4 linked regions of the Astyanax mexicanus genome follow. The protein of the gene in region 1 purifies or fractionates together with the protein of each later gene. This does not show direct contact. Links are inferred from orthologs where the notes say so. Each region holds a gene or a part of one and is shown in the gene's direction. Other genes may lie near its edges. The genes, in order: dicer1, prkra, ago1 and ago3b.

Region 1 (8,011 bases):
ATTGACTAATTGAAAAAATAATCAGATTAGTCAACTATCAAAATAATTATTAGTTGCAGCCCTACTGCCATTTTTCTCCGAGAGCCCGTATCGTTAAGTAAAGTTGGAACATGATTTTTAGGGCACTATAAATTCCCATAATGCATCATCATCGAATTTATAATAAACATGGCTGCTTACTACACTTTTTGAATGTGTCCCAGAATGCATTGAGAGTTTTGCTACTAAACTGCATACAGTCAAAAAAAAGCAGACAATTTTTTTTATCTGCATGTGTGTATTATATATGTGTTTAGCGTATCATAAGACACAAAAAACAAGAAAAGCAATTACAGTACATATAAATAAGCTCGCAAGCAATGAAAGAAGCAAATACTCATACAGAATAACCAACACAAACAATACTTACTCAAATTTCCATCAGCAGGAATAAAGCTCTGTCTCTGCAATTTTTAGATATCTAACTACAACAAACAACGATGGACTTTTAATACTTGGTCATTTTGTCCACCCCTCAAAGCACAACTCCACATTTTTCATAAAATCACCCAATCTGGCAACACTATAAGCCGGTGTACGCTGTTAATTTCAAGAGTTTCTCCATGTAGTTCATTATTAATGTGTGGATTATGTTTCTAAACAGCGTGAATATAACAGTTAGAGAGATTATTGACTCCATGATCAGCTCCGAGCTTCACTAACCTTAATTCCGAGCTCAGTTCAGTGTGTTTATGGAGTTTTGAAACACAGTTCAGCCGGTCAGGTGTTTAAGGGAGCAGAGCGGGCGCATGTTAATGATGAGGGCGTGTCCGAATTCACTAAGTAGTGGTGAAACAGAAGTGAATTCAGACACGCCCTCAGAGCGTGTATAAAACGTTCTGCTCGCATAAATAAACATCTGACTGACTGAAACGGTGTTCTGTCAAATTATGCTACCCATTATGCTACCCATCGATACATAAAGGTAGTGCGCATGCGCCGACCTACACCTTTTTTGTGTTTTTTTTTTTCATAATAGAAATGTATTTTGTGCATTAAACAAGCTGGACTCACTGTCATTGCACAAAAGTGGAAATATTAATTAATTAAAATAAATACAATAGTTATTATTTACAAAAAAAAAATAAAATAAAGCAGTCTGTAATGACCTCTCATTGCCATAACTTTACCATGACACAGTGATTTATGCTATCCAAAAATACTAGCTACATTTACTGGGCTTTCTACAGGGAACATGCTATAATATGGTGCTACTTATGTATTTTAAACATTTAAATATACACTAGGGTAGCACGGTTTGACAAGATAGCACAACTCGACAAAACACCGTGTTTAAAACTTCATAAACACACTGAACTGAGCTCTGAATTAAAATTAGTGAAGCTCTTCCTCTCTGACTGTTATACTTAAGTTACGCTGTTTACAAACATAATCCTCACATTAATTAACTACATCTGAAATAAACAGCGTACATCAGCTTGCAGTGTTGCCAGATTGGCTGTTTTATACTAAATGTTGAGTTGTGTCTAAAATTGACTGTATAAAGTGTTAAGAGTTTGAAAATATAACTCTTCAGCGTTGTGGTTAGTTAGCTAAACTTGCAGAGACGGATTTTTCAGTCCTGCTGATGGAAGTTTAAATAAAAAGTGTTTGTGTTGGTTATTATGTAACTCTACGTATTTACTCATTTCATTGCTTTGGGTCGTTCGTCCTACTATACAATGCACAAAACACATATATAATATAAACATGCAGATAAAACCATTTAAATAACGTTTTTTTTTTAATTGGTGATATTATAAAATATTTAAGGTGTTTTATTTAAGATCACGTTGGAATAAACCCTGTAATATTGTAGATATGCTGAACATTAGCTGTAAGGTTGTTTTACTCAGTATTATGGAGGATTCTAAGTAGGGGTGGGCAATATTATATCGTATACAATATATCGTGACAAAGAAATATCATGATACTAAAAATCCATATCGTGATAATAGGGCTGTTCTGTCTTAAAAGTAGTCTATTATTTACTGTGAAGCTTTAGGTGTATTTATTGTATAATTGTTTTAGTTCGCAGTTTATATTCATGCACTAAATATTCTGCAGTATTATTTGCTGCATTGTATTATTTTATGCTATATTATTTATTTTGCCACATTATGATTATACTGTTATTCTCTTATACTATATTCCTGAAATTAATGAATTATTTTAGTTTTCCTATATCGCCAAGTATATCGTTATCGCAAAAATACCCTGAAATACCGTGATATTATTTTAGAGCCATATTGCCCACCCCTAATTCTAAACATTTTAAACAGTGACTTATCTGATTCCTACTGTATCAATCTGGCAACCCTGGTGGCTCGCTGTCTGCTTCGTTTGATCGATTGTCTGTTGATTAGTAGTGAGTCTCGCAATGCATTCTGGGACACATTTAGCTCACACTGAAAACGGCGATATTTACTATAAATCAGGATGCATTATGGGAGTTTATAGTGCCTCAAAATCACATGCAACTTCTCCCTTACGATTTGGACACTCGGAGAAAAATGGCTGATATACTTTATAGTGCCCTAAATAGTAAATAGGGAGCCAGTTCGGTCATAGTGGTAACTAGCGTTTTGGCGCCAAAACGTTAGTAACCCAGAAATGAGTAATTATTAGGCAAAATATGCTTCAATACCTGCTAAAAACACACAAAAATGTGTCTAGAACTGATATAAAACCTCCTTTTGCCAAGAACGTGTCTCAAAAATACATATATTATTTTAAAACAGCACATTTTCGGAGTTTTTCTGCTCTGCTTACCTCCTGCGCTGCGTACAAGCTCCTAATGAGGTACGGAAGCAGGGTTGCCAGGTCTAACAAAAATATCCAGTCCAAACACAGTCTAAAACACACCCTTCTGAACCTTAAACTAGACCAAAATCTAAGTTTGTCACACGTTTGAAGCAAATGGCAAAACATCTGAGTGAATTACTTGATTTTATAAGGGATTTATGAACAGTATTGTTATTTATCTTTAAGTCATTGTTAGTATTGTAACATTAGTGTTTTATTATTTTATTTATAACAGTTTTAATTTTCAGTCAAGAACATTTAATAGTAACATAATAACATTATTTTATTTACTCTTTTCTGTTCTTGCCCCTCTTGAACTCTCTTCTTTCTTCTTTAACGTTTTTTTGTAGCTTAAACAAGCTCAATTTGGAGGGAAACAGCAAACCTGGCAACCCTGGAGGCACGGAGCGATAATTAATAAAAGAAAATGTAGTTTTCTTGTTGGTGCAGGGAATTGTAGTCCAAAATAAAAACAGACAAAAAAAATAAATTTTTGCTGTTACAGCACATCAATCAAACTCCAACAGCAGTATGAAACATTACAACCGGCCCTTTTGTTCACTAAGAATTCATTTTATTATATATAAATATTTTTCTATTATTTTGTAGTCTTTTTAATTCCTTTACACCAGTAACAGGAGTGAGTTTTGGTAACAGGAACGAGTGCCATTAACAGGAGGATTTTTTATTTGTCATAAATATTAATTATCTGAACATGCAGTCAACCATTTCTTTAAAATAAATGCTTTCTTGAGAGAAAATAAAAGGAATAAGTGGACTTGCTTTAAACACATTCTTTTTAAATGATACATGAGTGTTTTGTAACCATCTTCAGCTTTGTTTTATAATCTTCAACTGTACAAAAATAAGTAAAGCTGTCTGAGTTTGACCAGTACATGTTTTAAACAACCAAATACATGTGTTATTAGATTCAATTTCGAAAAAGATTTTAAAAATAAATGTAATTTGAAAGAGTTACAAAAAGCAAATTGCACTCATGGCCCATATGTCACAGGGTTTATGTGCTTCGAGGGAAAAGTGCAGGCTGTAGACATTTATTTCAGCCACCTGATGTCACTCTTCTCTGAGGCTTTTTATTAGTTTTTTTGTTCTGCTGTAATGTGTGACTTTCCTGTATGTAACAAAAAAGGTATATTTATATTTTACTAAAATACTTTAAAACGTTTTTTTATAGTTTTATATCTTCTCAATTTGGTTTGTGGCACTTAGTATAAATAATGTATTAATAATTCTAATAATTTTACATTAATAGTTATTTTTTAATGAATAGAAAACAGAGATCTTTTTTTTTAATAAGTAAATGTACAAATCAAGAAAGGTAGCAGAAGTGTACAGTAATGTGAGAGCAAAAATAATTATTCTAGGAAGGTTTCCAGTGTACACTACAAGTACATTTTCAGCTAATGGAAAAAAAAAAACAGCAACAAAAACAAAACAGAATAAGGCAACACTTAAGAGAAAGAGAAATACTAACAAGGAGGCAATAATTGTCTTTTGGACATGAAGGAAGTCAAGTTTCACACAATTAAAAAAGCAAAGACTTTGATATCATATAATTTCTATTCAATTTCTATTCAATCTCTTGAAATATTCTAGTGACTTGAAAAAAAGAAAAGAGAAGAGAAGATAAGATAATCATTTCTTAGTCCCGCAGTGGGGAATTTCACAGTAGTACAGCAACAAATGGATAGCAAGGCATAACAAATAAAATAAAGGGTACAATATATACAATATAAATTATAAAAAAGTAAAGAACTCTTAAAACTGTATTTACAAATAATTACGCATTGCCTCTTAGTTGTACAGGGGCAATGGATTATTTTACATTATATTACACTGAAAAAAAAAACATATATATAAAAAAGGCAAAATCATGTATAAACAATGTGAATGATGGAGTTATGGCTTTTCACTTATATGAGTATATATAATATTTACCCAAAATGATAACAAGAATAACTAAATCTAAAATGTCTCTATTTATATATTTTGCCCATATGATACATTGCGATTTTTTTTATAAGTAAATTTATGTATGTCAGTAATATAATTTTATCTGACAACCAATGTGCTGAAGGGACTTTTACATTGTAGAATAAAAGTCCCGCGGGGTGAATTTGCAGCTAAAACCGTATGCGGTCGCTTTTTCTCCGTTTCTCCGGCAGCGGGAGGGAGAGACACTCACGGACTAAACACCGATAAAACCGCGATCTCCAGCCGCGCAAAGCCGGTAAACACACCGATCTTTACTCTCCACACCTGGGACACATTTTATAAACTGTCCGCGGGGCGGATTTGGGGTTAGAATCTGCGATTTTGGGCAAAATGTGTAATAGAAATGTCGGATCGCGGTGCGTTAGCTTGGCTGGCTAAGCTAATAGCGGCTAAGCTAATCAGCAGCCAGGCCAACACGCTTAGCTCATAGCTTAGCTTATGTTTCAGCTCATAAATAAGGTTAATTTAGATTAAACCGGACAGGAGTTGGGTGTGAAATCTTGGTTATTTGTATACTGTGGAAATTAACTGTATTTATGGCTTTATTGTATATAATTTAATTAATAATGTAGTTAGCTTTTTAGCTAGTTAGCTAACCTAGGTTAGTTTTTGCAGCGCGCATATGGATACAGATCACTGTAGCTAAGCTAACGTTAGCTGACCAGACTTATACCTTATTTTTTACATGCTCTTTATTATTTTAAACAGTTTTTGAAGTTTAAACAGCAAATACTATATTTTACTTACCTGCAAACCATGATCTGATCACCTTATCCCGGATTTATGTGAATATAATTACCCTTCTCAGCATCATGATGGCACACAGATGATCAGAACAGAATCTATGCAGCTCAGATTTGTAAATTTACAGCTTTATAGCTTAATATATTAATGTAATAGTAAGGTGTGAGCGCTACAGAATGCAGTACTCATGGTGAAATGCTGTTTTAGGGTTTGTAAATGGATTTATTGCTGTGTGAACTGAACGCAGCCACAAGGCCAAGGTCGCCTCGAGGCCTGGAGTCTGGCACACACACATTATTTACAGTATTGACACTTTGATAACAGTATTTACTGTGTTTAAGCTGTTGTTTCACTGTTAAATCAGTTTAATCTGCTGTATTCACAAGATTCACAAGATCTGAGTGACTTTAGTGTAAGATAGTGTAAAGTCTCACACTGGGTGATTATCTTTAATCTGTCATTAAAGAGGCACTAAACCCTAAATCATTTTTTAAAATCATAAATAGCTTTTATTAAAGTGTTCTTCCGAAGTAAAAAAAAAAACATACCAGTCCTGTTTAATTTTTTGTAAACCTTTCCTAACATTTATAGGTCTTGTTCCATCATTTTTTTGAGGTCTCTAGTATGAATATATTCCATGTGAGCTGGTTTTTGTTTATAAAAAAATAGCTCTGGTAATCTGGTATAAGGCTGCTTTAGTCAGGTGGAGCAGTGGGTGGGTAGAAACAAACAGGATTTGTCTCTTGCTCATGAATACATACATGCAAACATATCGCCTCTGATTGGTTAACAGCACTGCAACGTCAGGAAGCGGAGAGATGGAGAACAGTTAAAACGTTTTAAAATAAAGACATTTTCACACTAATAACAGTCTTTGCAATGTCATATGTTATTTTACAACAAGTGTAATACTAGTACAAGAGTATTTTTTAACTGCTAAGTGCAGTTCAGCCGCTGATATAGTCTTAGAGTCTTTGTAAAATGCCAAATCCACCGGAGATCCCATGTAAACCTATAGTTACACACAGAGGTGGGTAATCCAGGTCCAGGTTTTCATTTTTAACTAGTGTAAACAGAACATACACCTACTTGTACTTCACTGGTGGTGTTATATAGACAAATTCTAACCATTTGTTCCTTAGACCTGAATTACTGGGCAAAACATATAACACTGATGTGATATTTGCACAAATAACACAGGAACGAACCTTTTCAGCTATGTTGTTTCTAGCGCTGTTAGCTTCTAATCAATCAATCAATCAATCAATCTATCAATTAATAATACCACCTCTGGTGACTTCCAACCATCAGCATCTTACTGCTATCAGAGGCACAGCTCAGCCAATCAGCTCTTCCTTCTTCCTGCCCTTAAACCCATACATCACCCAAATTTGAGCTGAGGGTGAAGTCAGCAAAAATCAGGTGGTTTAGTGCTGCTTTAAGCAAGATGTATGGATGGATGGATACCGAACAGTGTAATACAAAACTATAAGGGTGGTGTAGTATAAAAAAGTGGGTACAGATACAGCACAACTATTGACAAAGAACTGCCAAAAGAATAGGACCCCCTGGCGCAAATAAACAGAATGTAGAGACGTAAACATGATTTTCTGGCCCCTAATTGCAGGGTTGAACTATGAAGCTCCTCAACTGTTGAACTGTGTTCTCTGGAATAATTTATGCTCCATCCAGCACAATGTATTTTGTCTCAACAGGGTTATTCTAATAACACATTTACATTAGAAGTGCCACTGGTCTCTAACTTACCTCTTACTCAGTAGTACTGTTCTAACCATAACTTTATCTCAGCAGTGCTACTCAAGTCACAGCCAGACTTTTTGTAAACAAACAAATTCTTGGGCTACTTTAGCTTAGCTGATGTTACTATCCTAGCACTGTACAGCAATTTGACGTCATATGTTATTTAGCCTTTTTTAAACTTATTTGCTTGCCAGAGATTTAGTACCTCCATTCTAGGGCTGGGATTGGAATTCTATACTGACATGTCTCTCTCTCTCTCTCTCTCTCTCTCTCTCTCTCTCTCTTTTTCTTTCTCTCTCTCTTTTTCTCTCTTTCTCTCTCTCTCTCTCTCTCTCTCTCTCTTTTTCTCTCACTCTCTCTCTTTCTCTCTCTCTCTCTCTCTCTCTCTCTCTCTCTCTCTCTCCCCCTCCCTCTCTGCTCACTATATCCTGAGACATTATAATACAGTAGTGAAAAGTATCTATTCTGCCAGACCTATATTAATATTATTTAATCTAATGCTGATATTTCTTTAAAAGAAACTCTTCAAACTATAATGCATCCAGCAATAATATAATAATAATAATAATAATAATAATAATTTGTAAAATATTTAAAGTTTAAGCAGTTAAAATAATGCTGTTATAAAGTGCCACAAATAAATATG
Region 2 (7,736 bases), on another chromosome or scaffold:
CCTGCTAGGACACATTCTAAGTCACTCCATGACAGTCTGTCTGGACAATCAACTAAGTTTCATTCCTCTTGGTTTCCTTCCACTTCTGGGTGCAACTATTTTTTGATGAGTGTAAAGCTTGGGTCAAATGGCTCTCAGACCACTTCCTAAAATAGTTAGATTCTTTAGATTTGTATGTTTTAAATGGGTCTTTAAATTCCTTTTTATGTGTCTTGGTTTATCAAGATATAATGCTGATATTTATGATGTATGAATGGACCAGGTGTAACTGGGGTTTTAGAGTGTAATATACTGTGGAACATTTGCTTATTGTGTGTTCTGTGTGTTGTGACCTTGAGGTGACAATGTGGAGGGACAGATTGCTAACCTGAGCATCAATGACACTTCCAACCAAGGTAATCATGCTCTCGTAACCTTTTGCTTCCTATGGATCAATGTCTGCTACTGGTATAACTATGGTTTAAATATGATTTGTTTTAAGCTCAATCTCACCATGGTCGGTCAACAGAAGAAGTGAGCATGAGCTCTTTTGACCCCTACCAACAAAGCACTTCGGTAACATGCTCCTCTTTTTCTAATAATTGTAGAAGGGGTTTATTGGTGTCTGTTCTGTGACAGCTGCTTTGATATTTTGTGTTGTAGGAAGTGGAGAAGTATACCATGACAGGAAATTGGAGAGGATTTTGCATGATCGTCAACAACTACGACTTCTCAAATAGTCCCATTAAATTAAACTACAGAGGGGGTACAGATACAGATGAGAGTGAGCACAGCTAAGACATTTGAATTAAAATCACATGTACTGATTCATGGTATAATTCTGTGTTTGCTGTGGGATAAATGTATTGTCTTTCTGTCTGCCTTTCTTTCTGTCTGTGTACAGAGAGATTATTGAAGGTGTTTAAATGGCTGGGATTTACGACAGAGGTGGTGCGGGACTGCAGTCGTGAGCGTATGTTAAAGGCCCTACAAGATCTGAAAAGTCGTGACCACGGAGAGGCTGACTGTGTGGTGTGCTGTGTGCTGTCTCACGGTTATGAAGGTGGTGTTTATGGGGTGGATGGTGGGAAGGTGAAACTAAAGGAACTGATGGAGCCCCTGGATGGCTATCACTGCCCCACTCTCATTGACAAACCCAAGATCTTCTTTATTCAGGCCTGCAGGGGCATAGAAAGACAGAGGGTGGTGTTCCTGCAGTCAGACAGTGAGAGCAACAGCATGGAGCCTGAACTCTTCTCTGATGCTATAGTGCCCAGAGAGTCTGTACCTGCAGGGGCAGACTTCCTGATGTCCATGGCCACAGTGCCAAACTTTGTCTCATACAGGGAGACAGTAAATGGAACCTGGTTTATACAGACACTGTGTAAGAGCCTTGAACAGCTGGTGCCAAGGTGAGATTCATGTTTCCTTTGCTTTCATAGATTATGCTTACATTATTATACTGAAGTGACTCAGATATTTTGCCTCAATGCGACACAGATCAGATTTTTTGTCTAATTCAATATTTTAAATCGGATTTGAGTCACTTTCATATGGTTAGAGCTGTCATCATACACCAGAACCAGTGTTGTGCCAAATTGTGACTCCCTTTCAAAATCCAATTCCTCTTTGTCTGCCCATGCATCTTGCAGCAGTGGCAAAAAAATAAATAAAAAAATAGTGAGACCCGTAAATGTATCTATATGCCATTTTAGAGACCTGCGTATTTAATAACATTACAGACAAATACAGATCAATTTATTATTTATCACTTTACCATCAAGATAGTAAATGTAAAAAAAAAATATTCAAGTATTTCACCAGGTAAATAACAACTGTCAGATTCAGTGTAAACTCGGAAAACGATTCAGGATATTGGTAGGAAACTATGACTTCATGTATGCCAAATTCCTAACCTCTTACAAATATTATCCTTCCTGCTTCTCCAAAGTTACATAGTGCAGTATGCAGCATCCCTATTATTGGACCGTCACAATGATTTAAAGCTGTTAACTGTTATTTTCCCTTGTATTTTGCTGTGTGTGTAGGGGTACTGATCTGATGTCCATCCTGACGCAAGTAAACAATGAAGTCAGCAAGAAGACCAGCAGATCTGGCTTAGAAAAGCAGATGCCACAGCCAGAATTCACTCTGAGAAAGTTAATCATCTTCCCTGTTCCTTCAGACATCTCTACATCTTCCTTAATATAATTTAACTGGAACTGTCATGCCCTTTGTGTAATTTATGTGAAGACAACATTCAGGTTTTGCAAACTGGACTCATTTGCACATTTTTGATGGCATCCTGCCATATTTACTTGTAAAACTTCACTCTACACAGCTCACATATATTCTTCATGTCCATGCCAGCTGCCTTGTAGAAAGTACAAGTGACAGCTTGTAAAAAACCAATTATTAAACCCTCAAACTTGTCATCAATAAATGGTGTTCTATCCACTGAGCCAACCACTGTCCCCATCCCTGTGAACCAAATGTGCTGCTCAACCTGTCAACTAACAGTGGAGGAGGCAAAGAGGGGTGGCAGGACTGGAGTATCCAGATGCACAGACAGTGCAAACTTGTACACTTGCAGAGTGAGTTTAAGAACCCTCACACGCTTTGTATTGCTAAAAGTGTACTGAGGCTTTCACAATGATTCTATACATTCCAAAAACACATGATTTTCTTCTAAGACAAAAAAACAAACATAATATATTTGTTGTTACGCAGAAACCTTTCATCTCTAAGAGAAGAGAAATAAAAAAAAAAGACTTTCAGTGTCAATTTAATGTAAAAAAATAATTTCAAGAAATGTTGGATATATTCATCATGAAATATTGACACAATGTAAAAAACAATTGCTAGATTCAGTATTTCAGTACTTATTTTTGATGTTGTTTGCCTGAAATATTTGTATGCATACTGTGTTTATCACATTTGTATTTTCCAACTTGCAAATGTAAATATTAAATTAATGTAATACTGACCAAACAACAGAAATTTAACACAGTTTAGATTTTGTTGCTCTGAATCGTGTTTGTAGGAACCTGAATCCTGAACGTTTTTAATCTCAAATGATCAACTATTGGTCTCATTAAAATATACAATATTACTTCTGAATGTTTTTGTAATGAATAAATGAGTATAAAAAATACTCAATACTTGATGTTTGATGTACTAGAGTTTTACTTGATGTTACAGGTATGTGTTTGAATGACTTAAATGCCCTATTTTTTTAAATATTGTGCCACAATTATCATCTTTAATTACATTTAGATAATTTATATCTATAGCAAACATTTCTATCCAGACTGTAATTAAGTGCTGTCATGATTGACCCTGGTGTTGCACCTCCACAAGCAGCTGGGCTCACCTGTTTCCTATAGTTTAATAAGTTTCAATATTTAAGGACTTACCTTGTTTGTATGTGTACGACATTTCGAAGCATTTGTTAATTCTTCCTGTTTGTTGTGTTTGTCTTCTTGTTTCTGGTATTTATGACTATCTTTCTGTATTTTTGACTTTTGGATTTGCCCCAGTCTGTACCGTTTGCCTGTGTTCTACTGTTTTTAGATTATTAAAATCTGCAGTTGAATCCCTTATCCCGCTTTGTGTGACAAGTGCTAGTCTTTTACTCAAAACATCTAAAGCTATTATTGACAGACCCCAGCATTACAAAATTGCTAGAATCTGAATGTAGAAATTACCACAGTTTGCTAAAACCCACGAAAAATAAAACGATATATTAAATGCAATTTAAAAACTACGATGAGACACCATCTCAAAATATGGACTTCTCAAAAATCACATCTGAAAACAATGATAAACTCTCAAAATAATGACTTAGAATCTCAAAATAATCAGATAGCATTTCAAAATAATGATTAACTTCCAAAAAACGATTTAGTATCTCAAAATAATAAGAACATTTCTAAATAATTACTTAGAATCTCAAAATTATAAGGTATTAATACAAGATAATTACGTAGGGTCATTATCAATCAGATAGTACTGTGACGACCGCTAAGGAGACACAACGGATGGAACCATTCTCGCAAAACAAACGTCTTACCGCTCGTTTCTTGCTTTTACACATGTAAGGCAAGTACAACCCGAAACACCCTTGTTCAGAGCTCCTGGCCAGGTGGCCAAACTGGCTACCCTGTTACTCCAGGGTAGCACGTCATTTGCATGGCCCCTCCTACAACAGCCGAAGGGGCCCCCACGTGACACACACACAAAACACAGTATCCCCCGTGCTCGCCACAGTATCTTAAAATATGGATTTAGTATCTCTAAATAATAAGATTGCAATTTAAAATAACGATGACCCCTCAAAATATTGACTATATCTATCTCAAATTAATTAGATAGAATCTCCAAATATTTATTTAATTTCTCAAAATAACAAGACAGTATCTTAAAATGTATGGACTTTCTAAATAGTAAAATCTTGATCTTAAAATAACAAGTTTACTTAACAATGAGGGAGGAAATGTGCTGAATTATATTTTATCTTAAGTGGAGTGTTCTTCTGAAATATGCACATTTGCTCATTATGCTGCTGCCCAAATCAGTCACCAGTATAAACTGGCCAGAATATTATTTTTTTAAATATTCATATCCATGATCCATGTTCACAGTCTACAACAGCGACTGGCTCACTGCAGATACAGGCGGGGTGATAGTATAACCCTGGAAGCCTATTGGTCAAAATGCGTGCCAGTTTAAATCCTGGCTGTCCGATTGGATACACACTCAAACACGACTCCAGCCTCAAACACAGAGATAGATCCCCGTAATTTTCGGATGCCGCAAGAAGTATGGCGAGCACATCTCCTTCAGTAATGACTGAATCCCAGTAAGTTCAGCTTCAAGTTAGTAGTTATATAGCTGTGTGTTTGCTCTGTGTTTGGATATAGTCTAATATAATCAGTGAAACGGCTTTAGACCTGTGTTTAGCTCGAGAACTGGCACAGCTTCCACTGTCTCTGCAACTTCAGCAGAAGCCGTTTAACTGCTGAAACTTACACCGGTATCTAACCAACCTATCTTAGCTTAGCTAGCCTAGCTAACGGCCTTAATACACGAAGAACGACGAATTAATGTGAACATAAACCCAAGAAATGCTAAAGTAAATTTAGCAAAACGCTACTAAGCTTTGTAGTTAGCAGAGGCTGATGGTTAGCGTTAAATGGGTAGCTTTAGGTCCTGTTAGCTAACGCTCGCTAGCTGATGTTGTGTTGAGATCCGCAGATTCCAGTTTTATGAATGTTGCTGCTGCCGCTTTAGCTATGGTAGCTATTTTACGGTAAACTATCTGACAGCTGTCCGTATATATAACATAGGTTGGCTAAGCTGCTAAGCTAACCTAGCTAGTTTTTGCCGGGTGTTTTATCGAATTATGCTACCCATCGATACGTGCTTCCTAAGGGCACTGCGCGTGTGCTGACCTAACTTGCGCGTTTTGATTTTTTCTCTTGTTTTTTCTTAATATTTATTTTTTTGTGCGTTACACAACCTGGACTCATTGTCATTGCACAAATAATAATATTTATAATAATGATAAATACAATCAATATTGTTGTTCTATTTTTGTTATTAAAAAATACAAAAGCAGATTTGTAAATGTATTGCCATACATTTACCACGATATAGTGATTTATGCTATCCAAATATACTCGCTAGTTACATCTACTGAGACCTTGCTCTAATACGGTGCTTCTTTTGTATTGTTACAGTTAAATATACACTAGGGTAGCATGGTTTGGCAAAGTAGCATAACAAGACAGAACACCTTTTTGCCGGTGTGATGTGACGTTAGCACTATGATTAAGCTAAGCTAACAGTATTTTCTTATTTTCCCCTCTTCACTTATTATTCAGGCCGGCTTCGGCGGCTCAGCCCGTTGCTGCTGATAAAACCCCTATTCAGGTGCTTCACGAGTACGGCTCCAAAACAGGCAGGCTGCCCGTGTACGTTATGGAGAAAACGGATGGAGAGGCTCATCAGCCTTTCTTCGTCTTTAGCGTCACAGTAGGGGACATCACCTGTACAGGTAAGACCCTGCTAAAATAAGCAGCATGGCCTGGTACAGATGGTTTACCAACTTAGCTCTGGACCAGCATAGAGTATGTTTTAATTTGTGTTTGAACAAGAATGGATTCATGGTTGATCACCAAAGGTAAATGATCCTGTTCATGCTTGACAGCCTGTGTGACCAAGCTTGATAGGTATTATACAGCATCATGACCAGCAAACCATGAGCTATTCGTGCTGGTTTAGCCGGTTGACTTAAAGTAGAACTCCAGTGTGAAATGGACTTTGGGGGCATTAACACGTGATTAACAATGCTTATCTTTGTTAAATAGCCCTCTTCTGTTCTCCCACAGCTTTCTGAGATCCAGTATTTTGTTTGCTTTACCCAAACAGGCTTTTAGACTGGGTGATACCGGGCATAGTTTGCCCTTGGAGATAAAACGAGAATAAGAACTTCTTGTGCAGTTTTAAGGTTCTAAGTGCCTCGTTTTAAATGTCAGGGCTCTCCTGATTCTACCGATGAAGTGTGGAGCTACTTTGAGCCTGGATAACGGTATAAAAGGGGATTTATCTGCATGGGCAAACTATGCCCCGTATCACCCAGTAGGCAAAGTGCTCGAAATACTGGATTTAAGAAGGCTGCAGGAGAGCTGAAGAGGGCAATTCAACAAAGGTAAGTACTTTTTATTACGTTTTAAGACACCCAAAGTCTGTTTCACACCGGAGTTCTCCTTTAAGTGATTAGTAGGATCTCGCTGACAGACCAGCAAGCTGGTTGACAAGCGTTATCAGGCAGGTGAATCAGCAAGAATGAGCTGATCGCCCAGCATGAGCAGCAAGGACAAGCTGGTCGACCAACATGAACATCAAGTACGAGCTGGTCGATGAGCATGACCAAAATCAAGTGCAAAATACACTATGCTACTATGCAACTAACCAGCTATCTTGCAACTGTAGGGTATGTGTCTTTTCAAAACCTTGGTTATCAAAGCCCAGTCAAGACTATCCACAACCATGTTATAGCAAAAGCTGATCTTGAGTATGAAATACTGTTAAGGGGCTCATACCATTTTTTAATTTGACTGTTTGTGTTCCGAGCTATTTAAAGTATTTGTTTAATGGTTTCTAAAAGGACTCAGTATCATTGTAGATTTCTGTGCCATTACTGTTTGTTGCATATAGGTCAGGGGCCGAGTAAAAAGGCTGCCAAACACGAGGCAGCAGAAGCGGCTCTGAAAAGGCTAGACCTGGACACTGAAAATAAGTGAGTGCACACCAACAACTGACAGAAGTTAAGGCACATCTAGTAGCAATGGTTGGACAAACAACTTATTTACTTTCTTAAAATCTCTAATAAAACCCCCAAAAACAAACTTAAGCAGTTTTCAACAGTTCTTTAGACATATATAGTCTGTTTTTGATGTAAACAGTATATGTGTAAGTGACTTCATCTAACATATTTCCTCTTTTTCAAAGGCCCATTGCTCCAAATCCAGAGAATAATGGCTATAGTGCTGAAACAAATGACCAACACAATCCAATTGGCATATTGCAGGTATGTCACTCACTGTGCTTTATTAAACGCAGTATAAAGCATGGCATTGTATTTTCGAAAGGTAATTTTCTGTAGTAGTTGAAAAATTTGTTTATTTTCAAATGAAGACGGAACTTTAGTAAGGAAATTTTATGTCTTTCAAGATTTTTTTATGACAGAGACA
Region 3 (6,914 bases), on another chromosome or scaffold:
TCCTCCATACTTTCATCATGGAAGGGGGGGTTATGAATATGAACTGTCTGGGAAGCTGCCTCATAGACATGCTTCTTTGCTTATTTTTGTGTATAGTGTCTATAGTCACATCTTGGCAAGTGGTAACTTAACTGCAGTTTAAGAAACCCATCAGGTAGATAGCTAGATTGCTAGATTTCTTAGCTAATGCAAGCTAGTTAAAAAGCAAACCTGTAGCAAACAGGAGATAATTGTAGCTAGCAAGCTATAGTTTAAACTAACAGACAACTTCAAAGACTTACAATAATCTGCCTTGCTGAGTTATTTTTTTACAGTCAGCTAGGTTAGGTAACATTAACTACTTTATTGTGTGGAATGTTTTAGCTAGGTAGCTAATAAAGATCTGTCAACTGTGGCATTATGCCAATTCTTAGGCCAGACACCTACTGACCACTGTAACCCATATGGCCCATGCCCACAGGTGCTTCCAATTGGAAGGAACCAGAAGCTAAAAACAAGTGTTAATTGCAACAGCATAATAAGTTATTTGGCAATGACAGAGAAGATTTGGCAATTTTTTCATGGGCACAACCCATATTCTCAGCTATGCTGCTCATCAGTCGAATATATGTTCCTTTTAAAGGTGACATAATTCAAAAGAGAAATTAACAGACTTTTTCATTGGTATTATGGTCAGGAAGCATTGTTACAAATTGAAATAATCTACCAAACAGAAATGTTCTTACTTTTTGTGCTATGTGCCCTAAAATTGAAAATTCGAATAGCTTGGTGATGCTGATCAGGCTGGTGGAATAGCTTGGTGATGCTGATCAGGCTGATGGAATAGCTTGATGATGCTGATCAGGCTGGTGGAATAGCTTGGTGATTCTGATCAGGCAGGTGGAATAGCTTGGAGATGCTGATCAGACTGGTGGAATAGCTTGGTGATGCTGATCAGGCTGGTGGAATAGCTTGATGATGCTGATTAGACTGGTGGAATAGCTTGGTGGTGCTGATCAGGCTGGTGGAACAGCTTGATGATGCTGATCAGACTGGTGGAATAGCTTGGTGAAGCTGATCAGGCTGTTGGAATAGCTTTGTGATGCTGATCATTTTGGTGAAATAGCTTGGTGATGCTGATGAGGCTGGTGGAATAGCTTGGTGAAGCTGATCAGGCTGTTGGAATAGCTTTGTGATGCTGATCATTGTGGTGAAATAGCTTGGTGATGCTGATGAGGCTGGTGGAATAGCTTGGTGATGCTAATCAGGCTGGTGGAATAGCTTGGTGATGCTGATCAGACTGGTGGAATAGCTTGGTGATGCTGATGAGGCTGGTGGAATAGCTTGGTGATGCTGATGAGGCTGGTGGAATAGCTTGGTGATGCTAATCAGGCTGGTGGAATAGCTTGGTGATGCTGATGAGGCTGGTGGAATAGCTTGGTGATGCTGATCAGGCTGGTGGAATAGCTTGGTGATGCTGATCAGACTGGTGGAATAGCTTGGTGATGCTGATCAGGCTGGTGGAATAGCTGGTCAGGCTGGTGGAATAGCTTGGTGATGCTGATCAGGCTGGTGGAATAGCTTGGTGATGCGGATCAGGCTGGTGGAATAGCTTGATGATGCTGATCAGGCTGGTGGAATAGCTTGGTGATGCTGATCAGGCTGGTGGAATAGCTTGGTGATGCTGATCAGACTGGTGGAATAGCTTGGTGATGCTGATCAGGCTGGTGGAATAGCTGGTCAGGCTGGTGGAATAGCTTGGTGATGCTGATCAGGCTGGTGGAATAGCTTGGTGATGCGGATCAGGCTGGTGGAATAGCTTGATGATGCTGATCAGGCTGGTGGAATAGCTTGGTGATGCTGATCAGGCTGGTGGAATAGCTTGGTGATGCTGATCAGGCTGGTGAAATAGCTGGTCAGGCTGGTGGAATAGCTGGTGATGCTGATCAGGCTGGTGGAATAGCTTGGTGATGCGGATCAGGCTGGTGGAATAGCTTGGTGATGCTGATGAGGCTGGTGGAATAGCTTGGTGATGCTAATCAGGCTGGTGGAATAGCTTGGTGATGCTGATCAGGCTGGTGGAATAGCTGGTCAGGCTGGTGGAATAGCTTGGTGATGCTGATCAGGCTGGTGGAATAGCTTGGTGAAGCTGATCAGGCTGGTGGAATAGCTTGGTGATGCTGATCAGGCTGGTGAGAAATTAAGTTTATAGGATTTACAGAAAGTGTGAAATAAATCTTTGAACAAAATTAGGCAGGTGCATAAATTTGGGCCTGAACAGAAAAAATACATCAATATTTAGACAATCCTCCTTTTGCAGAAGTAACAGCCTCTAAACACTTCCTATATCTTCCAATAAGAGTCTGGCTTCTGGCTGAAGGTATTTTGGATCATTCTTCTTTACAAATAATTTCCAGTTCAGTCAAGTTTGATGGTTTCTGATCATAAACAGCTCGCTTTAAATCACAGCACAGATTTTTAATAGTATTCATGTCTGGGGACTGAGATAATCACTCCAGAACATTGTACTTGATCCTCTGCATGAATGTTTTAGTAGATTTTGAGCAGTGTTTAGGGTCAGAATACGTCTACAGAAGTATTTTTTAAACCAAAAATATTTAATGGGCCATTCCACCGAATGTATGTCATTTCTGTTTGACTAAGGAGCTCAATCTCAACACTCTGTCCCGTTATCTAAAATAATTCTTAAATCTTATTTGTTTATTTTTAAAATACAAATTTTGGGAAGATCACTAAAATGTGCTCAGTGTCCTTATGCTATTTGCATAGCCGCCATTTAGCTATTTTTCTTGTTTTTGCTAATTCTATGATAACTCAAAACATAAAAAAGTAATAGGAATCAGTGCCATTAATAGGATTGATTTTTTTGTCATAAAAAATATCTATTTGAACATGCAGTCAACCATTTCTTTAATATATAATCTTTCTTGAGAGAGAATCAAAGGAATTAGTGGACTTGCTTTTAAACATGCTTTTTAAATGTCACATAAGTTTTGTAATCACCTTTAGCTTAGAAACCTTGTAAACAATTAAGTAAATCTGAAAAAAAAAAGTTTTACCAGTACATGTTTTAAATAGTTAAATACATGTGTTATTAGAGTTGAAAAAAATATTACAAATAAGCTTAATTTGAGTTACAACAAGCAAATGGCACCCTAATACCCTAATCTGAGTAAAGAATGTGATGCTTTAAGCAGTTTTGTTTTCAACCCAAACTTTTGCACTCCTGTGTAAATAGCTCATTTAGTATAATTCATGTATATCAAGAATACTAGTAAATCTTGGATATATAAATAGATTTTTCGAGGTTAACGAGTTCAACGCTCATTGCAGTGTGAAGCAGTGTGTGAACCTTTCCCCCCAACGGTCCCCAACCACCGCTCGCTAGAGGGCGGCCGCACAAAGCAGCTGCCCCGCACAGGAGGCGCTGTGAGCGGGAGGAGGAGGCGAAGAAGGCGGCCCTCTCTCCTCGGCTGTCCGTGGTGGGATTTTTTTTTTTGTTTGTTTTTTTTGGGGGGTCTGCTCCTACTCTGGAGAATCCTGCTTGAACGGTGAGCAGGACCCAGACACGCCGAGAGAGAGAGGGAGGGAGAGAGAGAGAAACGAAGGGAAAGGAGGGAAAGAAAAGAGGAGGGAGACCCACAACCAAAGCGGGGAGAGGAATCCGGCCAAGCGGGACTTGGAGCGCGGAGCCCCGGCTTGGCGCCGCAGCCAGCCCCGCTGGAAAGACCGGAGCGGAGCGGAGGAGCACGGCCAGAGCTGCTATTGTCTCCCCGGCTCTGCGGGGTCCAGGAGCTGGGGGGAGGACTCGGGGGGACTGGGGGTGGGCTTCCAGCTAGGGTAGAGGGTAGGGGCAAGGGGGGGGCAAAAGGGGCAGGGGGGTGGGTTGGTTTTCTTTATTTTTTTAGCCAGGAAAGAGGCGCTTTCCACGGCGGGGAAAGCAGGCTGTAGAGGCGAGGGCCGGCCGTGGTGGTGGTGGTGGAGCCCCGGGGCTTGCGTTGAGACGGCGCGCCTAAGTGGATGGGATGGAGCCGGGAGCATCTGGCGCTGGTGAGTGGATGCCTGGTTTGGCTTGGCTTTTGGTGGAAATGTTCATTTTTGATCAATTCTCATAATTATTGGGTTTGTTTAAGTATGTTTTCTTGGTAGAAGCTTATAGCTCCATCTAAGAAGCATGGGTGGTCCATCCAAGGTGGAGCAACCCCCCAAAATTTGTGCTTTCCTTCATTATTCTCAATAAATATGAATATTGTGCAAAATTGCATTTGGCTCATGCTTGATCAAGCATTGAAAAATTGGTTGAAAAATCTGGGGATGGGAATGGTAGGTGGAAGGGAATGTGTTGCAGGGGTCAGGAGGCAGTAGGGTCGTGGGAATCTTTAGTGAAGAGGCCTTGTCCACATGCAGATGGTCCAACCCCACCCCCCATCCAACATCCCACAATGATTATTGATTATGGTAAATTTATGGCTTTGCCCTTTCTGATCAGCCCCCAAGCCCAGATGTGTGGTTCTTGCTGCTTGACTCATAAATAATGTCAGCCTTTCTTAGTCTGTTCTAGTCCCAGTTTTACTAGTGCCTAACTATGTAAGCTTGTTGATGGATTGATTAATTCTTTTATAGTTAGAGGTCTCAAAAAAGAAGTTTCATCATCAATCATGATGTTTTTATTAGAGTGTGTTCTGCTTCACATAGTTCAACTGCAGAGTAGAATAGTGCACACCACTACAACAGAGTCGCAAGAATAAAATATTCTGAAGATCTTTTGGTAGACAAGTCTGTCTAATAGTTTTCTTGGTCTTAGATTGTCTTTCCTTTAATTCTTTTATAGCTAGAAGTCTCATAAAATAAGTGTTTTGGGCTTTTAATCGTAATTTTTTGGAGTGTGTTCTACTTCACAAAGTTCAATAACAGTCATATTTGTGCAAATATCAATATCAATGTAATATCAAGTAGAGTAGGGCACCACTACACCAAAGCCTGATCAGTTATTTTGAAAATCTTTTGGTAGACAAGTCTGTCTAATAGTTTACTTGATCTTAAAATGCTGTTTGTTTGATTCCTTTATAGCTAAAGGGCTCAAGAAAGTTTCTTAAGCTTGTTGTTGTTTTTATTGGAGTGTGTTCTGCTTCCCATGATTTAATAACAGCCATATTTGTGCAAATATCCCTACACAGTAGAGTAGGGCACACCACAACACCAGAGTCCGATTAATTACCCTCAAGATTTCTTGTTAGACAAGTTTGTCTGAAAGTTTTTTTTGGTCTGATTAAATATCCTTAAGATCTTTTGGTACAGAAGTCTGTCTAATAGTTTTCTTGGCCTTAATTTGTCTTTCGTTTAATTCTTTTATAGCTAGAAGTCTCACGAAAGAAGTTTGTTGGGTCTTTAATCATGTTATTGTTATTGCATGTGTTCTGCTTCACATGGTTCAATAACGGTTATATTTAAGCTAATATCACTGCACAGTAGAATAGTGCACCACTAAAACAGAGTCTGATCAGTTACCCTGAAGATCTTTTGGTAGACAAGACTAATAGTTTTCGTGGTCTTAAATGCCTTTCGTTTAATTCTTTTATAGCTATAAGTCTCACGAAAGAAGTTTCTTGGGTCTTTAATCATGTTGTTATTATTGTTGCATGTGTTCTGCTTCACATGGTTCAATAATGGTTATATTTGAGCAAATATCCCTGCACAGTAGAATAGTGCACCACTACACTAAAGCCTGATCAGTTATTTTGAAAATCTTTAGGTAGACAAGTCTGTCTAATAGTTTTCTTGATCTTAAAATGCCTTTTGTTTAATTCTTTTAAAGCTAGAGGTCTTAAAGACATTTCTTGGTCCTTCAATCCTACTGTTGTGGTTGTTGTTATCATTACTGTGTGTTCTGATTCACATAGTTCAATAAGGGTCATATTAATTCTATTAATATAGAGGTCTCAAGAAAGAAGTTTCTTAGGCCCTTAATCATGTTTATGTCATTATTGGAGTGTTTCCTGATTCACATAGTTCAATAACAGTCATATTTGTGCAAATATCACTGCACAGTAGAGTAGTGCCCCACTACACCAGAGTCTGACCAAATATCCTGATGATCTTTTGGTAGACAGGTCTGTCTAATATTTCTTGTTCTTAAATTGCCTTTCTTGGACTTTCTTGGAATATTTGTCTGCTAACTTAGTGGAGATGTCTGTATTGCCAGCTTGAGGGCATCATTGGGACAGAGGTAACTCTACACTGATAACCAGCTGTGTTGGGGTTGTGGGGTTTTGATGACAATTGTCTTTGGGCTCAGAGTTGACCTCTGTCAGAGTGTAAATTTCATGATGTAATTGGATGGGGTGCGGACCCTTCTCTGTCAGTGTGCTTTGATTCACTCCAAGAAATCTAATGTAGCAAGGCATTTACATGATACCCATGAGTTTAGTTTCAGTTGGAAAAGCCAAAAAGCCACAGTTGAAATAATACAAACTAGTAACTGTTGTACTTTATTAAAGAAAACATGCTTTGCTAAATGCAGGTAGGCAGGGCCAGGAATAACATTGTTATTAACCAAAATTTGATCACATAATTATCAGTGACCTATCATACAGGTACTGTTTTCTGTTATATTTGTTTTGTCATTGGGTAAAATTGGTGTAAAAAGTAATTGTACTTAGTGGTATTGGTAATTCAGTATTTTTTTTTATTTCTAAAGAAGCAATATTGGTACATGTTTTGGTGTGTGTTGTGTGTTGCAGTTGTTTTTTATTTAAAATGGAAAAAAAAGCTAATAGAAGTCATACTCTTGGTTATGTAATTATATGTCATAATGCACAACAACGCACAACAGCTAATGAAAGCCCTATTCAGATGGATTAATACTGAGTTTAATTTACCTCAGATGTCATTGGTATTGGTAATAACATCACAGT
Region 4 (7,925 bases), on another chromosome or scaffold:
ATATAAACACACACAATATTTTAACATTCGTTCTCATGGACGATGGAGTAATGCTGGAACACCAGTACTGTTCAGGACAGTCCTACGGGATTCTAACCTTGTAAGTCGTGTGGCATGTCTTCCTTGCCATCAAAGCACGAGACGGGACATGAAAGAAAAGGTCTTGTTGGCCTGCTACACCTGCAACACACAAACACACACGTAAACATTTACACATATAACTTTCAGTTCTCAGTGTAATCTGTGGAAATCACAATGTCACTTTGAATGCCACTGGAAATGTCCTTACAACACTGGTGGCACTGGATTGTAATTGAAAATTGCTGTATTTTTCAGACTATACAGTGCACCTAAAATACTTTAATTTTCCCAAAAATCGTCTGTGCTCCTTATTATCTGGTGTATGAATTTTACCAGTCAGGTTGTAAGGAGCAGCAAAACTACTGTGCTGAAGTAAAGAGTTATACAGGCGTTTTAGTTTAGTTCTCCAGCAGTATTAGCATTACCCGCTAAGCGCTAGCCATTTGGCTGCTCAGAGGTGAGTATTATCTTGTATCTTATTAGCTTGTAGTCTGCTGCTAACCTCGGCCAACACTGCTTGAGCAGCATTAGCATTACCTGCTAAACATGCTAGATATTTTTACTGCTAACTGATATGGCCCTGGCTTACTGGAACACTCAAGGTTCCTCAGTGTAGCTCTGTCGTGCAGCAGTTAGGCAGCATTAGTTAGTTCCAGCATTAGTGGAAATCTGTAAATCTCTTAAATTAACTCCCAAATTAACAGTTTTTAGGAGAGAAATCTGTGTAGATTTACATCCAGCACTCGTTTGACTTGTCTGACTCGTATGAAAATGTTTTTTTTTTTAAGAATTACAGTTTCTTTTACTTTACATATCATAGCTTTACCGGTCTCCCCACCCAGCGGCAAGACCTGCTGAATTAGAAGGGAAATGTGGAGACACCCCTGTTTCTAAGAAATGCTGCTTAAAATGCTCCTTATAATCTGGTGCATCTTGTGTATGAAAATAGATATTTATTGATAGTGTGCCTTATAATCTGGTGCACCTTATAGTGCAAAAAATACAATACTAAAAATGTGTTAGTGAAATTGTGTTACAAGAAATATATTAATTATATAAAAACTCATATGCAGTTAATTGCATTCCACCAACCTGTAATTCTCCACTACACCGAGGTCCGCCTTCAAAGCTGGCAGGAACAGCTTCAGCACTTCAGGATTGGCCAATATTTCAGGAGGAGTTCCTCCAATCGAGGTCATCCACTGAAGGAATTCTTCATCAGACAGTTGGCTTCTCCGTGGGGCTTGTAATCTGGTTTCAGACTGACAGAGAGGATTAATTGTTTTAGCTAAAAAGTTATTGTAAATGTTTCTTTACACATTTACATGTTTTAATTAAAAAACATGTAATGATTTACCAGCAGATAAGTCATACCACTTTACAATAACTTATATTATGCCACTGTTCTCTTTGAAATCACTACTGCAGTGAACAAACTGTACTTACATAAGGCGCAGAAGCTCCAGAGAGAAACACATGGACTGGTTCAAGATTGTGAACTTTTTTCACATACTCGGCAAAGGCATAGCTGGTCATAGCACCAAAACTGGGGAAAAGGAACCACAATGAGATGAGAAACCACAAAGTGCCTGAAGTAAAATACATGAAATTTAATGCGTTTTTAAAAAACTTTTTTTAAATCATTGATGAAATCTGTTGAAAACATTATAAACAGTGTTGTTGCATTTTGCCAAATAATGCAAACAACACAAAGTTTCCCAAACAAATTATGAAAGAAAAATATTTCCTATAGGAAATTTGGTTTCCATTTTTGCTAGCACCAAAATGTTGTTTTTGATCCCAGAGAACAAAAAACTTTACATTCATTTGTGAAGTAGATGTGAGATATAACTTTTTTAGCACCAACCTGTGTCCAAAGAGAGCAAATGGTTTCTCCTTGAGTTCTGGCAAAAGCACACTGATGACCTCATCGAGGATCTGCTGCATGTGCTGGAAGAATGGTTCTTTAGCTCGGCTCTCCCTGCCGGGCAGTCTGACTGAATACACTGCATATCACAAAGAACAAAAAGAGGAGCAATAACACAAGCAGCAAAAAGCACCAACTGTCAGAGCGCAGACACATAATGTATCAACATACTTTAATATCCATTTAATTTGCATACATTAAACGCTTACAGCACCATCTCAGAAAAAGTTTTGAGAATGTGGAAAAGTGCATAAGAAAAAGACAAATCTTTAAATACTCTAAGATCTTATATAAACAACAGCCTATTTGCATAAGTGACAGAGCCCTTAAGCAGATCATTCTGAAAGGGGCTGAATCTGGCATAGAACTGGAATAGAGCTGGTGAGGCTCTTTATGTGAGAGTGATTTAAATAAAGATGGTTTAAATGTTGTTTTTCTATCATCAATCTTAAAAATATGTAAAGTAACAAAAAAAATCAATGTTTACTTATAATGTTCTTCTTAAGTAATAAGAATGGTGGTGTACAAACCAGTGCCAAAGAAACATTTTTTTTTGTTTTATAGCTATAAAACAGAAGCAGGAACTGTGATCATTTTTCTTATTTTTCTTACTTATGAAATGTAAAACAAATTTCACAGTTCACAGATTGAAATGCTGGGAACAGTGGATGAGGGGCCTTCAAACACCAGAAAATGCTATAAAAGCATCTAATATCTGATAAAACATCCTGATCATTTTATCATTTAATGTTGAAAATATAATACTTAATGGTCCTTCAAATCATTTAAGCATTGTAGAAATAAATCCACATGATCTCACTTTGATTTTGTTGCCAATATATATATATAAATACAGCACAATAATACACAGTAAAGGTCAGTGTAGCGGAGAAGTACCTTCAACAGAGGAGTTGAGGAGTCTCCCCCAGCGTGCGTAGTGGATGGAGCCTCCACCTGCCCAGGGGAAGCAGATCAGTCTGACCACAGCGTCCGGCCTCCTGCTGAAGCAGCTAATGACTTTATCCATCCCAGCTACAATTAAACAGAGTTAGAGCTACTGGTGATTAAAAAATAACAATACCATCCTTCTGAACTAGGAACCAGTCTACAGCTGAGTAAGGTTATTTACATGAGACTCCAAGTCCAAGTACAAAATAGCAATAAATAACCTAGATAACAGTCTAGGTTTATAAGCTCCACTGTTTCATAACTGTTTGTTTAAATATACCACTGATAAATATGTCTACTGACACTTCAGAATAAAGAGCAAACTATTCACCTGCCATTTAAAGACATTACACTGTAGTACATTACACTGTAGCCCGTCCAATCACTGTAACGTTCCCTGGAACAGATCCCTGAGGTGCCTTCAACACCACCCAGTCTTTACTTCAGTTCATATCAGTTTCAACCCTGGAACACAAACAAAATAAACGATTTAACTTTTTATCTCTAAATAATGAGGGTGTATACCGCTGTTCTGCTTAAACAGAACCAGGAGCATTTAAACTCTAAACTCTAAACGCAGCTGAACGTTTCATACACACACATGTTGAAGGTGCGCTTCTTCAGTCTTTACTTCAGTTCATATCAGTTTCAACCCTGGAACACAAACAAAATAAACGATTTAACTTTTTATCTCTAAATAATGAGGGTGTATACCGCTGTTCTGCTTAAACAGAACCAGGAGCATTTAAACTCTAAACTCTAAACGCAGCTGAACGTTTCATACACACACATGTTGAAGGTGCGCTTCTTCAGTTTCTTCTGTGGTGAGCTCAGTTAAATCCAGAGCGCAATGCTGCCATCTTCAGACCACTGTGCTAAAACAGCCACCAGACTTTTGAGACTTTTACAGATTTTACCTGGAGTGTTTTCCTTTCTTCTATATTTAATTAATCAATTAATCAATCACATACATGTATTTTCACTCTGAGGTACACTGAGGTACATTTTCAATGCAGCTGAGCATTTACAATAGAAAAATTTAAATATAATATGAAACCACCGCATACAAACACAACATGGAATAAAATAAGCAAGGTAAAACATTGAAAAAATAAGCATAACTAAGGTTAGATAGCAAAATAATCATTTAATTTAATAATAATAATCAAAATAAATAATATATATATATTTTTAAATAAGAAAAGAAAACATTTTAACATTAGACAAGAAAACTAAAATAAAGCCAAAACTAACCATTAAATTAACATAAAAAAACAATATGGCATAATGTTTCCCACAGGAATCAAACCATATTTTGGTTATTGCACTATTCCATACCATACCTTATTTTATATTATTTTTATTATTATATTTTTTTTATTTGTATTATAATATAATGTTGCAAGGCATATCTATATCCAAAACAATGAGGCGTACAAGTGGGTCATAAATAAAAATCTATATACGCGCAATAATACGTAAAGAAGTATATTTGGTTGTTTATATTCTTATTTTATTCTTACAATCTTGTTGTAAGCTTACTAAAACGTGTTTTCTTCTAATGAGCTTGTTATCAATTATCAACCAAAAAAAACAACAAAACTTTATTTTCTCTCCAAAAATATATTTCATGCCTTTTGAGGGTTAAGACAATAATAATATTAATAATAATAAGAAGAATATGTTTTAATCTATAATGAAAAAATGAATAAATTTGAAGAAAAAAATCGTTATTATAGGAAAGCTGGGTAGTGGAGGTGGTTATAAAATAAAATTGCAGCGAATTGAGCTTCAATGTTTTTCTGTTGTGACTAAAACAGAATTTCAGAAACTTAATTATATTATTATTTATGTTCTTTAATGAATTAAGTCTCAGACGTGGATCAGAAATGAATGACATGGTTGCAGGATGTGACGGCGCTTCCTGCCGTTGGTATTTCCTGTGGTCCCCCTCCCTCAGCCCGGCGGTGGAGAGAGAGATGGTGAACCGGTTACAGGAGCGGAGAGAGTCGGAGAGACGAACCGGTGAACCAGCGAGAAAAACAGCCCGGAGCTGAACCTCTGCTGCGGTGCTGAGTGTTTTATTATAGAAGGACGAATTTTAACTGGTTTTAGACTGTAATAAACTGTGGCTGAGTGGAGGTTGGAGGTTTTAGTGAGTTTTATCGAGTGTCAGACAGAAGCTGCTGCTCTGGTTCGAGTTGAGAAGAAGGGAAAAGCTGTTTCTCGCTCTCGGGAGTTTTTACGAGGAGTTGGTTCGGTTGTCAGCTGGGAGTAATTAACGCTACTGAGTCCCGGTGAACGGAGGGAGCTACTGAAGGAGGCGAAGGACACGGCGGGGAGGCTGTCTTTAACCTAACTAACGATAAACACCGAGAACCGAATGAAGCTAAGGCCGAGCTGACCCTCAGGGACGGGACGGTCTCATCAGCCGCAGCGGAGACCGGCGACCGCGGCCGGGGCGAGGAGGACAGAGAGGTAGCCGTTAGCCGAGCTCCAGCAGCTCCAGCGGCCCCACAGCGGCTCCGCGGAGACCCTACAGCACCACTACTACCACCACCCGTAAGCCGGGCACCAGCTCTGGAAAGCCGGCTGACTGGAATCCGGGCAGAGACCTCATGAATGGAAATCGGTACTACAGGTAGGTTTACGAGCTTCTCCCGGAGCGTGACCCCAGCTGGGGACCCGGCTGGGTGGGGTTAACCAGCAGGTGAAATAACTGGTTAACTAACTAGTCAGGTCAGATAGTTACAGGAGGGTCTTCTGAGGGGACTGTGGGGCTCGTTCAGGGGTCCGTATGCACTGTGTCTCGACCCCTCAGTGTTGTGTCGATTTTAGCAACCTTGTCAAACTATGCTACCCTAGTGTATATTTAAAGGTAAAATACGAAATATTAGAACATGCTCGCAGTAAACGTGTCGGTATGATATTTGAATAGCCTACTCGGTGTATTAAGGTAAAGTTAAGGCAATATAAGTGATCAGAAACAGTTTTATACATTTTTTTTTAATCATTTTTATCTATATTTTTATCATACATTTTTACACGGTTGTAACACTCGAGCTAACGATGACAGTAAGTCCAGATTGTACACTGCACCTGAGATTTTTTTAAATATCAGGAAAAACACAGGAAAACAGTTAAATCGAGAGTTTAGCGCATGCACAGAACCGCTTAGTAGCACAAATCGACGGGTAGCACAACTCGACAGTACACCCCCCGGCTCCCTGTAACTTAAGTAACGCTAACTTAACTAACCCAGCTAACAGTTGTTTTAAGCCGTTTAGCAGCTGTTTAAGTTGTTTAGTTGTAGATTAGAAGTCGTTATTCTGGAGGTTTATGCAGGCTCGGCTGTCTGGTGGTCGATTGGAGGCGGTTTGAGGGTTTTTACCCACTCGCGGTTTCCACGTCACGGCGCTGCGACTCGCCTGTCACGCACAGGTGGCGTGGAGATCAGGTGCTGCTGCGTGAGCTGCTTGTGTGTGAGTGAGAGAGATATTGTGTGTATTTATTACTTTGTGAGGACCAGACGCCCCATAACTAACAGGAACGCACAGGAATCCTAAAGTCGTGGGGGACACCTGTAGTAATGCAGTACAACACAGCATTACAGTAAGCCTTCCCCAAAAACGATAGTAATACAAACCTATGTATCTGTGTGTGTAAAAGTGAGAGAGAGAGAAATTAAAAGAAAGAGAGAGAGATTTTGTGTATTTATCACTTTCTGAATGCCAATTGCCCAATAACTGCCCCACACGGGAATTCTAACGTCGTGGGGACATATGTAGTAAAACAATACAGCAGCATTACAATAAGCCTTCCCCACAAAGATAGTAATACAAACTCGCGAGAGTGTGTGTGGTCACAGAGGGGAGAGTGGGGGAGGCCTCCCGTTGTCATGGTGACTGAGTTACTGGTTGCTGTGTCACTGGTGACTGCTTTCCCACAACTGGTTTAACTGGAAAACATTAGAAATCAGACCCAAACTGATATACCAGTAAAGAATTACCTGTGACCAGTTGCTCACAGATGATCAGATTAGTAGTGTGTGGTTCTAGGTTTCTGTAAGTGTCTAGTCTGCACGTGGTTTACAGGTCAGCAGTGCCAGAAGATCAGTCAGTTCCCTGCTGTTAAAATCAGATGTATGGTTTTGCTAATTTCTTGTCTTAATATTTGAAGAGTTCATTTGCAAAAATGGATAAAGCTATGTTTAAAGGATAGCATCTATCTATTTGTTTGTGCAAATTAACTCTTAATTTCTTTAATGTGATCTATATCTTTTCATCACTGCTTGTAATGCTAACCATACACTAGACGACTTCAAAAACACTCTGAAAACACTTTTAATAGACTAAAGTCTGACACCCTCTCACGTCTAAAGACAAGTTACAGACTTTTTAGTCACAGATGGCAAAGACTGGGGATCTTGAAGGGTCACTATTTGCAAGACTGCAACTAGATTCTTTCAGAGTTTATTTTATTATGTTTTACTACTATTTTTATTAATATTATTATTATAAGTAGGAAATGTGTTAAAGAGACACTCTTGCTCACTACACAGCTCCACCAGTTTCTCCTACTTTTGTATACTCTAGGAGAACTGTGGTTTCCGAGCCATCACTGGAGTCTCATCCATTTCATGTTCCGCAAACCTCCCTACGCTTGCCTTGTGGCTTTCCGTAGCCCTCCTATTGGTTGTTGACATTGACATTGTTCACTTATGATAATATTAAACACGGTTGATTTTAGCTCAGTTAAACCACAACCCATATGGCCACCTCATTGTATGACCGTCATAATGTCATAAATGTATTGTACAATATATGGATGAATATGACCTGGATGGTAATTTTTCTGTCCCTAATTTTGTTTATTATGCATTTTTTAGCAAGGAGAGCCCATTAATGTGAATGAGCTGATTTGCTAACTCTTTAAACTCTGTTTATCAAACTTGTCAGAGTAAGAATGC

The links.
Region 2: the proteins of dicer1 (region 1) and prkra purify together in Homo sapiens (co-immunoprecipitation; 4 studies listed by BioGRID and IntAct, with this or other methods). This does not show direct contact. The link is inferred for Astyanax mexicanus from reciprocal best matches to the Homo sapiens genes DICER1 and PRKRA.
Region 3: the proteins of dicer1 (region 1) and ago1 purify together in Homo sapiens (co-immunoprecipitation; 7 studies listed by BioGRID and IntAct, with this or other methods). This does not show direct contact. The link is inferred for Astyanax mexicanus from reciprocal best matches to the Homo sapiens genes DICER1 and AGO1.
Region 4: the proteins of dicer1 (region 1) and ago3b purify together in Homo sapiens (affinity purification with mass spectrometry; 3 studies listed by BioGRID and IntAct, with this or other methods). This does not show direct contact. The link is inferred for Astyanax mexicanus from reciprocal best matches to the Homo sapiens genes DICER1 and AGO3.

Annotation. Positions count from the first base shown.
Region 1 is NC_064421.1:4,264,427-4,272,437, forward strand, and holds the start of dicer1 (endoribonuclease Dicer), read left to right. Parts: upstream 1-4,995; 5' UTR 4,996-5,095; intron 5,096-8,011. UniProt on the Homo sapiens protein: Double-stranded RNA (dsRNA) endoribonuclease playing a central role in short dsRNA-mediated post-transcriptional gene silencing.
Region 2 is NC_064418.1:32,496,292-32,504,027, reverse strand, and holds the start of prkra (interferon-inducible double-stranded RNA-dependent protein kinase activator A homolog), read left to right. Parts: upstream 1-4,730; 5' UTR 4,731-4,802; coding exon 4,803-4,840; intron 4,841-5,864; coding exon 5,865-6,037; intron 6,038-7,200; coding exon 7,201-7,282; intron 7,283-7,494; coding exon 7,495-7,573; intron 7,574-7,736. Other genes in the region: casp10 (caspase-8), read left to right, coding at 339-395, 482-555, 643-763, 884-1,391, 2,028-2,190. UniProt on the Homo sapiens protein: Activates EIF2AK2/PKR in the absence of double-stranded RNA (dsRNA), leading to phosphorylation of EIF2S1/EFI2-alpha and inhibition of translation and induction of apoptosis.
Region 3 is NC_064408.1:119,808,968-119,815,881, forward strand, and holds the start of ago1 (protein argonaute-1), read left to right. Parts: upstream 1-3,899; 5' UTR 3,900-4,025; coding exon 4,026-4,050; intron 4,051-6,914.
Region 4 is NC_064410.1:30,427,889-30,435,813, forward strand, and holds the start of ago3b (protein argonaute-3), read left to right. Parts: upstream 1-4,905; 5' UTR 4,906-5,578; coding exon 5,579-5,597; intron 5,598-7,925. Other genes in the region: olah (S-acyl fatty acid synthase thioesterase, medium chain), read right to left, coding at 98-180, 1,174-1,343, 1,528-1,627, 1,949-2,087, 2,906-3,040, 3,288-3,294.